Linked DNA regions of Elephas maximus indicus. The protein of the gene in region 3 interacts with the protein of the main gene of each other region in a biochemical or structural test. Links are inferred from orthologs where the notes say so. Each region holds a gene or a part of one and is shown on either strand. Other genes may lie near its edges. The genes, in order: TLK1, CDK9 and MBP.

What was found.
Region 1: the proteins of MBP (region 3) and TLK1 form a complex in vitro, tested with the Homo sapiens proteins (2 studies listed by BioGRID, with this or other methods). The link is inferred for Elephas maximus indicus from reciprocal best matches to the Homo sapiens genes MBP and TLK1.
Region 2: of the proteins of MBP (region 3) and CDK9, one has a biochemical effect on the other in vitro, tested with the Homo sapiens proteins (2 studies listed by BioGRID). The link is inferred for Elephas maximus indicus from reciprocal best matches to the Homo sapiens genes MBP and CDK9.

The regions. Positions count from the first base shown.
Region 1 is NC_064824.1:69,385,128-69,388,870, reverse strand, and holds the start of TLK1 (serine/threonine-protein kinase tousled-like 1), read left to right. Parts: upstream 1-873; 5' UTR 874-1,273; coding exon 1,274-1,412; intron 1,413-3,743. UniProt on the Homo sapiens protein: Rapidly and transiently inhibited by phosphorylation following the generation of DNA double-stranded breaks during S-phase. This is cell cycle checkpoint and ATM-pathway dependent and appears to regulate processes involved in chromatin assembly.
Region 2 is NC_064827.1:78,877,125-78,880,867, reverse strand, and holds the start of CDK9 (cyclin-dependent kinase 9), read right to left. Parts: upstream 2,878-3,743; 5' UTR 2,657-2,877; coding exon 2,565-2,656; intron 2,102-2,564; coding exon 2,020-2,101; intron 1,276-2,019; coding exon 1,185-1,275; intron 829-1,184; coding exon 662-828; intron 549-661; coding exon 377-548; intron 220-376; coding exon 71-219; intron 1-70. UniProt on the Homo sapiens protein: Protein kinase involved in the regulation of transcription.
Region 3 is NC_064829.1:84,281,272-84,285,014, reverse strand, and holds the start of MBP (myelin basic protein), read left to right. Parts: upstream 1-793; 5' UTR 794-881; intron 882-1,491; exon of another isoform or gene 1,492-1,835; intron 1,836-3,743. UniProt on the Homo sapiens protein: The classic group of MBP isoforms (isoform 4-isoform 14) are with PLP the most abundant protein components of the myelin membrane in the CNS. They have a role in both its formation and stabilization.

The DNA.
Region 1 (3,743 bases), on a different chromosome or scaffold from region 3:
TGCCCTTTCTACACGATGAACACTGGGTAATTTTCCTAAATATGTGAATTCAGCGTTAAAAATTTTCTATTTAGATTTTCCACTTACGGTTTCAAAACAAAAAGAACTGCTATGCCACATGTACGGTCTACAATACCGGTAGTGATTTTCAATTCCTTTACTAAAGATTTTTTTTTTTTTTAAGAAAACATTCAGAAAGTTTATATCGCAACATCCCCCTCCCCAACTTATTTCCTCAGTTCTTTTATTCGGTAATTACTCCCATTCTGCAGAGTGGGAGACGCACACAGGTTTTTTGCACAGTACAGAAGAGCAAGACAGAAGCAACTTTCAACTTTTCAGTTCCATCTTGAAAAACGATGACTTCTAACCACGGAGAAGCGACAGTCGAGCAAGAGCAGAAGCATTCCTCCCCAGGCTGGGTGTGGGTCGGGAGCCAGGCGCGCTTCCGCGGGAGAGGGGGAGTCAGGTGGCAGGGGCGCGGGAGCCGGAGCTGCGCGGAGGGGGCGCGTGCGGGGCGCGCCTCCCTCCGGCCGGCGCGGGGAGGGCGGCCCGCGCACGCGAGTCCGTCGGCCCGGGGCTCCCGCGCTGCGATCCGCGGGCGCGCCGGGGGCGCCCCCTCGGCCGCGTCTCCTCCCTCGCGCGCTCGCTCCCTCCTCACACCCCCGCCCCCAGGCTCTGGCAGGTCCCTCCCCCATGCCTGCTCCGGCGGCCGCCGCCGCTACCGGAGGCGCAGGAGCCTCGCGATAGTGTTTGCACAGGCGGCGCGTGACGCCGCCGCCGCCGCCTCCTGTAACTGATGCAGAGGTTACCCTGCCGCCGCCGCCTCAGCCGCCACCCACCGTCCGCTGCCGCCGCCACCCAGGCGACGCCGGGGGCCGACGCACTGCAGAGGTGCCGGCAGGTTCCGCCCGCGGAAGTCTCCTCGGCCGGCGCTGCCCGCGCTCCGCCCGCGCTTCGACCCCAGCCCGGCGGGCGCCCCCTCGACGCCCTTACCGCGGCGCTCCTTCCCTCCGCCTCTTCTCCGGCGCGCCCGCCCGCTCCTTCTCTTCTCCCCCTTTTCCTCCTCCCAGTCCCCTCTCCTCCCCTCACCTCTTCCCTTTCCACCTCCCCCCTGCTCGGTTTCCTTCCCCCATCCCCTTGACTCTCCCCTCCCTGCCCTCACTCTCTCCCTCGCCCTCAGCGCGGCCCCCGCCATGACGGAGGCGGGTGCCGGTGCCGTTGCCACTGCTGCTGTCTCGGGGGCAGAGTCGGGTTCCCAGAAAGTAGCTTGATGAGTGTCCAAAGTAGCAGTGGAAGTTTGGAGGGGCCGCCATCTTGGTCCCAGCTCTCCACGTCTCCAACCCCGGGCTCGGCGGCGGCGGCCAGGTCCCTGCTGAATCACACGCCGCCATCCGGGAGGCCCAGGGAAGGTAAGCACCGCCGCGCCCGCTCGCGGGCCCCCTTCCCGCGCCACGGCCCCCGCGCCCTCGGGTCTCCTCTCCTCGACCCTGGGGTGGGGGATGGTGGCGAGGTGGCCGCGAGGCCGCCGGGCTCCGGGGAGGTAGTGCGCTGGCTGTGGGTGGTGGTTCACGGGTGGCGGAGGAGACGAGCGAGGGGGTGCGGGCTGGTGGGGACGGGGCGAGGCGCACAGACTCGTCTGGCTTCCTAAGAGCCCGTCGTGCGAGGGTGGGAAGCCTCCCTCCGGACGCGAGTCCCTTTCTGCCCCCTTTCCTAGTACACTCCATACGTTTAACCTCCTGGCCTCCTCTGTCTCTGGTGGGTTTTCCCTCCCGTTGGAGCATTCATCCTCGCGAGCCCCCTCCCATTCGCCCTCGCACTCCTCCCACAGAGGCGGTCCCGTGGCTCCGCAAGCTTTGCTGCCCGGGACCTGGATGCACTTCGTTTGCAGGGTCTCTTCTCTTTAGGGAGAGACGCTGAAATTATTGTCTAGGCAGACTTTGATCCCCTGCCCTAGAGCAATTTAAACGACAGTGTGACTCGTGGGCAGGTTCTTAAATCACCCCTCCAGATGGTTGCAACTTTCTCTCCTTCGCCATCACCTTCTGCGTGTTTGTGCGTTCTCTCTCTTCTGCAAGTAGACTACTGTTCTTCTCTGACAGGGTCGTGGGTTTTGTGGGAAATATCTGCGTAAAGGTTACTGCAAACACGCACCAGATCGGTTACGATTGTTTTCTAAGTTTTCTGGCTTCTTGCATGAAAGTGTGCTGCCACCAGATGTAGCAGTTACACAGCTAGTAAGACACCGGAGTGCTTTTGGCTAAAATTTCAACTTGCTGTGTTTAACTTTAAGTATACGACACAAAATGAAATTCAGGAGAACGCTCATTTATGGGGGAAGAGTAAATGTGCATGGAATCGCGTTTAACGCTCTTTGTCTGGAAAATGTTTAGCGGTATTCATCAGCAGTTGGTAAACGGGTTGTTCAGTCCCAGTTGTCTCATGCAAGATTGTAGCCACATTTTCACAAGAAGAAAAAAAAAAAAAACGTGTGGAAGTCAGTCTAATGGATCTTTTAAAGAAAGCAGGAGCATCAATTTATGTAGAAATCGATGGGTTTAATTTATTTTGAAAATATCACTCAATATTTATTACTCATAGCCTTGACAGTTGTTAATCTAGTGTTTTGTGCCCTGAATCCAGCGGTTCAGGCGTAGCATTCTTTGTCATTTTGTTCCTGTGAGCATGTGTGAAAGTGACAATAGGCTCAAAGATTGGCATGAATTTGCTCTAGAAAATTCGTGGGAAGGTTTGATTTATGGCATCCATTAAACATGCTGAATATATTGACAGACATTTTTCCCTTTCATTTTGCTCTCAACACTGAGTTCTGGTTATTAATAAAAGTTTATTTATTGACTCACTCAAATTTAGTATCTGGTGATCTTTGTGCACTTGAAAAATTTTAAATGAATATTTTAAAAGGTATTTTGTAAACGGAACAGTTGGGTGCTTTTAGCATGCTTTTACTTCGTAATTTCATTAAGGTGCTTACTGGTAGTGTTGTGAGTTGAGAAAGACCATTTTATTTTATTTTTTAAAGGTGTTTTATCATTCATTCCTCAATTGTTGAGCCATTATTGTAAGCCAGTCCCTGTACTAGATACTGAGGGTATATGATTATGTCTGTTATTGTCTGTTGTTCATCTGTTGACATTGGTTATCAGTGTTAGTAATTTGGGGGCCACGAAATCTAGATTGAGTTTCTGAAGTTACTTCAACTCTAGTTAAAAATTTCTTTATCTGTACTATTCTGCACTTTTCCTGATATTTGAAAGTTTTGAAGGGTTAGAATAATTAACCTGGACTTTGAAATAACCAGAATTTTCCAGCAGTTTAGATTACCGTAGATTTTTGTGTAACCTAAAATAGGGAATCTGTTAATTAATACGAAAGTAGGATGTGTTTTGTGAAAGTTATATTTCATATCAAGTCCCTGCGTGTGGTCTCTCTCTGACCAACCAGCATGTAGATTAAAAACTGAGTTAACCAGTTGCTATCAAAATCAGTTCGAACTCAGGGCAACCCCACGTGTGTCTGAATAGAACCTGTGCTCCATAGGGTTTTCAGTGGCTGATTTTTCAGAAATAGATTGCCAGGCCTTTCTTCTGAGGCACCTCTGGGTAGACTCCAACCTCTCTGAAACCAGTTGCTATCAAGTCAGTTTCAACTCATGGCCACCCCATGTGTGTCAGTGTAGAACTGTGCTCCATAGGGTTTTCAATGGCTGACTTTTTAGAAGT
Region 2 (3,743 bases), on a different chromosome or scaffold from region 3:
TCCCCACCACAGAGGCTTCTGGGCCTCTGCACCCATGGGGACTGGGAGCCCACGCGGCTTGGCCACGCACCTCAGGGGTGATGGAGCCACAGAGCTGGCTGATGAGGGCAAGCTGGTGCTGCTCGGTGTTGCCCTGCATGATAGGGCTGCGGGTCCACATCTCTGCCATGATGCACCCAGCGCCCCACAGGTCAATGGGGGGGCCGTAGTCCCGCTCCCCTGGGAAGAAGAGCGCACCAGGAGGGCCCCTTGAGCCCAAGGGCCTCCTGAGATGCAATGCCCCAGGGCCGACAGCTCAGGAAGCCACGGCAGTGAGGGGCTGGGGTTGGGCAGGTGCCTGGCCCCTGCCCCCCTCTGCCCGCTCGGGGGTCCTCACCGAGCAATAGCTCCGGGGGCCGGTACCAGAGCGTCACCACACGGTTGGTGTAGCGGTTGGGCTGGCTGTTCTTGGCCAGGCTGAAGGCCCGGGCCAGCCCAAAATCTGCCAGCTTCAGGACCCCATCACGGGTGATGAGCACATTAGCTGCTTTCATGTCCCTGTGCAGGATCTGCAGGAAAGACAGGAGTGCAGGCTCAGCCAGGCTCCCCTGGATCCTCTGGCCACAACCATCCCACAGTGGGAGCAAAGGCCTTAGTCTCTCTCTCCTCCGCCGGCCCCTACCTTGTTTCTGTGGATGTAGTACAGGCCATTGAGCAGCATCTGCATGACCTTCTTGATCTCAGACAGTGTGAACTTGACTAAGACATTACTCAGCAGCCCAGCAAGGTCATGCTCGCAGAAGTCAAACACAAGGTATATACTGCCCTTGCAACGGTTATAGGGAGATGCTGAGATGGAAAGAATTGGGGTGAAGGACAGGAAGAAGAGTCAAAAATCCCATATGCAACCCATTTCCCCATAACCAGCTCCTACTCCCTCTAATCCATGGACCACCCATGTCCTCCAGAGCATCCATTTATTCATTCCTTCGCTGGCAAAATATATGTTGAGTGCTTCCCTGGGCCAGGTGGTGTGGTAGGCCCTGGGGAAGAACCAGCTACGACGAGAGAGAACCAAAGAAAGCAATCACCACTGCCTAAGAAGAAGCATTTTAAGGCCCTCCAGTTCTAACTTTACAAACAAAACCTTAGGCTATAAGCCCCACTTTCTCCATCTAAAAACGAAGGATGAGATCCAAACATACCTTTGGTTCGACAGATCTCAATCAAGTTGACCACATTCTCATGTTTCAGAAGTTGGAGAATCTTGATTTCCCGTAGGGCTGTGATGGGAAACTGGGGGGAAAAAAGACGATAAGAGGTCAAAAGTGAGTCAGAGAGCTGCGGGCCAAGGAACTGGTCCTGGGGTCTCTACTAAGGCATACAGATTGAAAGACAGAGTTAAGAACATGGGCTCTGATATAAGCTCACTCAGATCCCTTATCTGTAAAAGGGGTATGATAATAGCATGCACACCTCAAAGAGCTGGTTTGAGACAATGAACTTAATACCCTTATTTTACACAAATTCTTTACTATTCATCACTATATACGCTATTGTCTCCTGCTATTTTCATGTGTTAGCTCTATGCCTGTGTTTAACTTGCTCTGTGGTCACAAAAATAACCTTAAAACATCTTTGATGAGAACTTGGTTTCTGGGGAGTGGGATGAGAGCTAAGATTGGGTGGGATGCTCCTTTCCAACACACTTCTTTGAATATTACTCACTTTTTAAAGCCATATGCATACATTTTTTACATTAAACAAAATCATATACTAAAGAAAACAATTTTTAAAGCTTCTAAACTCTGAACCAAAGTGCATGCAGTGCAAGCATGAGCTCCCCCTCCTGGACTCAGCCCTACTTAAACAAATGTTTAAGATATTTTAATTAAAAGACTTAATTTCGAGGCCAAATTCCCTGAAATGTGCCAATTTCCGAAACTACTAACAAAAATTCAACCTCAGCAGGAGACTCCTGGAAAAAGCAGGCTGGAAACCCAAACCCGCTGCTCTGTGATGCTGGCGGGCCGCACTTACCCCCTCCTTCTCGTTCTCCATCAGCACCTTCTTCAGGGCCACCTTCTGGCCGGTCTTGCGATGCTTGGCCTTAAACACCTCCCTGCAGGCCGAGAGGGGACACTGAGGGCTGATGAGGCAGTTTCCGCAGGGCTCGCCCCTCCCCCACGAGAGGAAGTGTGGCAGGGACAGGGAGACTCCCGGGCGGGGCTCGGCCGGGCACCCGGCACTCGGCCACCTCACCGGCCTGGGTCTCCGGCCCCTTGCCGGGCCTCCGCTTCCCTCCCTCAGTCCCCCCTCTTTACCCAAGCGCCTTCCGGAGGTCCCGCTTTCCTCCCCAGTTCCTCTCTGCAACCCCTCGCCGTCCCACACCCCAGGCCTCAGGCTCCTCCCCGCCAGCCGGCCCCGTCAGGCCCCGGCGGGATGCGGCCCGGCCTTGCGAGACCAGGGGGCATGCCCGGGACTCAGCGGCTTCCCAGCCAACTCAGGCCCAGCTCCCGACGCTCCCACGTCGGCCCTGGGGAGTGCTGGCCCCGGGGCCCCAGTCCCTCGGGGCCCAGTCTTACCCAAAGGTGCCTTGGCCGATTTTGGCGAGCTTCTCATATTTGGACACCTCATCACAAAAGGGGCACTCCACTGAGTCGTACTGCTTTGCCATGGCCGCCTCCAGCGCGCCGCCACCACCTCCAGCCACCGCCGCCGCTCCCACTCCTGGACCTGCTGCTGTGCTCCAGGCCCCTCCGCGGCCGCGCCACTTCCGCCTCCACGGCCACTTCCGGCCTCGCGGCACAGACCCCGCCTCTTCCGCCCGCCGCCCGCCGCCGGGCCCCCTGGGACTTGTAGTTCCCGGGAGGCTAGAGGGAGCTGGAGCTGCAGAGGCGCCGCCGCCGCCGCCGCCGCCGCTGCCCCCGCCGCCGCCGCCGCCGCCGCCGCCACTGCCGGCAACGGCCCCGATCGGGGGCGCGGGGAGCCGGGGCGCCGAAGCTGGGGCTCTGAGCGGTGCGTCCCGCTGCATTGGCCCGGGCCGCTGCTGCTGCCGAAGCTGCTTGCCGCTCTGGCGCCCGATCCGGGGCCAGCCGCAGTGCCCTGCTCCTCCTCCTCCGACGGCACCGCCTCCGCCGGGCTGCGCGGGGCGGCGAGCGGAGGGGCGGTCCCCGAGCCGCGGCCTGGGGGATCCCTGGCCGGGCCCCGGCTCGGGGCGTCCGGGTTAGGGGGCGAGGCAGAAAGAGCCGACGAGGAGGCGGCCCGAGAGCCCCGAAGGGGGCGCGTTATAAAGGGGGAGGTGCCCTGGCCTCGCCCTCCCTTCTCCCTCTACCCGCCCCCTCCCTCCCACCCTCCGCGGCCGCACCTGCCGCCGCCGCCGCTGTCGCCGCCCGCCCGCCCGCCCGCCCGCTGTCCGCCGGCCGCCCTCGGCGCGTCACCGCCTGCGGCCCCTCCCCCGCTTTCGGAGGTGGGGCTCCGCGCCCGACACCTGGCTGCGAGGCGGCCCACCGCGTGCCTCAGTTTACCACCCCGGCAGGCTGTGACGGGGAGCCCCTTCTTTCACGGCTCGGAGTTACCCGCCAGAGGCGAAGGCGGGAGGCGCCAAGGGAGCGGCCTCCGGCCCTGGGAGGAGTGAACGGCCCCCGCCACCGCCCCCCCGGCCCCCGCCACCCGTCGTTGACATGGCAACCGACGGCCGCCAGGGGGCGCGGCGACACTGGAGGCGGCGAGCTAGCAACGCCCCGGCCTCGGGCCCTGTACCC
Region 3 (3,743 bases):
GTATCTAAACTAGTTTTTCTTTTTTTTTTTATCTACTCTGCTTGTCCGGAAACCCTGGTGGTGTAGTGGTTAAGTGCTACGGCTGCTAACCAAAGGGTCGGCAGTTTCAATCCACCCGGCGCTCCTTGGAAACTCTACGGGGCAGTTCTACTCTATCCTATAGGGTCACTGTGAGTCGGAATTGGCTCGACGGCACTGGGTTTCGTTTTTGTGTTTTATCTCCTTGTCTTAGAATTATCATCAGCACATTAACACTGTTGGTGGGTCCTCAGGGTCCTGGGGGAGGTTCGGTTTGAGTGGGGAGTCCCTGAACCACGGCGAGCGTCTCTGCCTCCGTCGCCTGTGCGTGCAGTGCAGTGCAGCATGGAGGAGATGCCATCTCAGGTCCCTCCAGCCGAGGGGGGCGGCGTGGGACTGGTTTCCAGGCTCAGCCAGAAGGAAAGGTTCAAGTGGTTGCAGTTAGGTCCTGATCTGCTGTGGCCAAAGCCTAGAGTCCCACCCTCCTGGGGCGGGTCCCCCGTGGGTTCTCGTGTCACTGGCGCTCCGAGCGGGCGAGCGCGGCGCAGCGCCGCCACGGGTCCTCGGGCTCGCACAGGGGCGCACTGGGGCGCGGGGAGGTGTCTAGGTGGGGCGCCCGGCGGCAGGCGGTGTTTACCTGGCAGCAGGAAGCAGGGAAGCGGGGGCGGAGAGCGGCGCGGCCTCAGAGTAGGGCCTGTCAGTCTGCGAGCCTCCCGCAGCGAGGACAAGCCTGCGGTCCCGGCGGCCCGTGGCCCGACCCCGGAGAGCGGCGGCCGCCCTGGGACCCGCTGCCCGCGCGGCGCCCAGACCTGGTGCGGGACCGGAGGGGCAGGAGCGCAGCCCGGACCAGCGAGCACAGCCCGGTGGGTGACCGTGAGGACAGAGGCGGCCGGACCCCTTTGTCCCTTTTTTCCCTCGGAGCGGGTGGGGGCCGCGGGGTCCCGGCGGGGTCCGGGCGCGCGGCGCTCACCTGTGCAGGGCCGGGCGAGGGGGCGGCCCTGCGGTGCCGAGCTCAAGCCCCCAACCCCCTGGCCTGGCCAGAGGCGAACCCCCGGGCTGCCATGGGGTCGCGGGCCCGCAGAGGCCTGAGAGGGGAGAGGGCGCTGCGGCTGGGCAGAGTTCAGGGGTGAGAGGGACAAAGGTCACAGGGGCCGCTCTCGGCCAGGGGGAGGGCAGACGGGGGATCCGTACGACATTTAGTGCCTTCAAATTACACACCTGGAGCCGAGCGGACACCCCCTGCCCCCTCCCTGCGCGCGCGCGCGCACACACACACACACACACACACAGGAGGAAGTGTAGTTTCCCTTTGAGGAAGGAGGGCGGCGACACACGTCCCAGTACCCCGCTTCCGCCTTCCTCTGGTCAGTCACCCAGGGCTCCTGGGGCTGGCCCAAGCACCCTGCAGCCCACTTGCAGCCCACCTGCAATCCCATGCGCACGATCTGTCTACCAGTCCCACCGGCAGCCCACCTGCAGGAGTTGCTCTGTTCTTCCTGAGGCAGGCTCGGGGCACCTTCGACGGAGGGCGCCCTCCTGTGCAGGGCTGCCCGTCCTGACCCTGATGCTTTCGGTTTCGGCCACCCCTCGGCTAACCTGTTTGTATGGTGGTCACTCTGCTGACCTGAGGTGGCTCTTGGCCCTCAGGGGTTCTCTTGGTGGCAGCACCTGGTTTCTTAGGGTCCACTTCAGCCTCCATTTCGGAAGGTGGGGTGGGGATGGAGCTCAGTAAGACCCTGGCAGGAATGAGGCCCCTTCCCAGTTCTCTGTTTCCCAGTTGTGACAGTGTGAGAATCAACAACATGTGCTGCTTCTGGGAGCTGGTAAAGCACGTGCAGAAGCAAGTGTGCTGGCAGGCTGCCAGCATCCCTCAGTGGGGCCTGGCTGCTATTGTTGGGTGCTGTCCAGTCGATTCTGACTCATACCAAAAAACCATTGCTATCGAGTTGCTGCTGGCGGGGTTCAAACCGCCGACCTTTCAGTTAGCAGCCCAGTGCTTAACCAGTGAGCCACCAGGAGACCTGGCTACACGTGTGGTCATCGAGTGGATTTTGACTCACAGCAATCCTATAGAGTAGAACTGCCCCAGAGGGTTTCCAAGGCTGTAATCTTTACGAAAGTGGATCACCAGGTCTTTCTCTCATGGATTCGAACGACCAACCTTTGGATTAGCAGCCAAGCACTTAACTATTGCACCACCGGGGGCCTGGCTAGAGACAGGATTTTCCAGGTGATGGGAAAGTCTGGTGGCATAGTGGGTAGGTGCTACCACTCCTAACCAAGAGGTTAGCAGTTCAAATCCTCCAGGCTGTCTTTGGAAACTGTGGGGCAATACTACCCTGTCCTATAGGGTTGCTATGAGTTAGAATCGACTCGACAGCAGTGGGTTTGGTTTTGTGGGGGAAGTCTGGTTTGAGACCCTTGTTTTATAGCATTTTACAGATGACCTCCTACAAGTCAGGGGCCTTCCCTGAACTGGGGCTCCCCCCTCCAGGCCATCACCGAGGGACATTTGGGGTCATGGGACACCCTGGAGAGAGCAGGTCTGGAAAAACAGGACCTGACTTGTCAGGGTACCTATACCATAGTTGTGTGTGTCCCTGGGAGCCAGGGGAAAGTATACTTCAGCAGGTTTGCTTCCGAGTGGGATGAACACAAATCAAGTTAAAAGGCAGGAGAATCGAGTTAAAGCTACTGCAAAACATTGGTTTACAGTCATTCTCAAGAATTAGCTCTTCTGAAATGATTCTTCTTCTTAAGAAGACAAAAGCTCTTTGGTTCAAATCCACCTTGAAAATCTTTCTGAAGCACCGTACTTCTGCCCAGTGACAAGACCAGTTACTCAGTGATTTGGTATTTAATCGCTCCATGGTGACTTTGAACTTCAGTTCTTGCTTCTTGGTGGGTGGTGAGTGTGAGGATGTGTGTTAATCAAAAGCATCTACTGAAAACCGAAAATTGTTGAAATCAACCATTCTCGTTACTTTCGTACTTCTGTTTGAACTTTTAAATGTTAATTGAAGGTTAATTTGATTTTTTCAGTTTTTCTCTAAATTCTTTAAAAATTTAACACATTTAAGATAAGCAGCTGCCTCCATGCCTTCTCTGTTGTTGATGTTAGCTGCTATCGACTTGGCCCTTGACTCGTGGCGACCCCATGTGACAGAGTAGAACTTCCCCGTAGGGTTTTCTTGGCTGTAATCTTTATGGAGCAGATTGCCAGGTCTTTCTCCTGCAGAGCAGCTGGTGGGTTCAAAGTGCCAGCGTTTTGGTTAGCAGCCGAGCACTTAACCATTGTGCCATCAGAGCTCCTTGATACTATCCTATTGCCCGGATCAGTCACAGGAGTCAGCCCAAGGCACGCAATTAGCAAGTGGCAGAGCCAAATTCCTTGCAGGTTTTCACTGCTGCCCTGCACTGCTCTGCGGACTAAGGCCTGCAGAGCACCCTCCGTTTTTTCTGGTTTTAAAGACTACTGCTAATGAAGGATTGCTCCCGCAGACCATGTTTCTTTGTCAGAATGATTAGATCGTGAGGATCTGCTGTATGGCTTGGTTAGGTGTCCTCCCCTCGTAGCCTCAGTTGTCAATAAAGAATAAAAGAGTATATTTTAATTACTCTTACTATAATTTTTAATAAGTAGCCATGAAGCATAAGACATGTCCAGTATAGCCACTTGAGGGAGGTTCAGTCATGCCTGAGCCCCTTGGCCTGGGAGCTGTGTT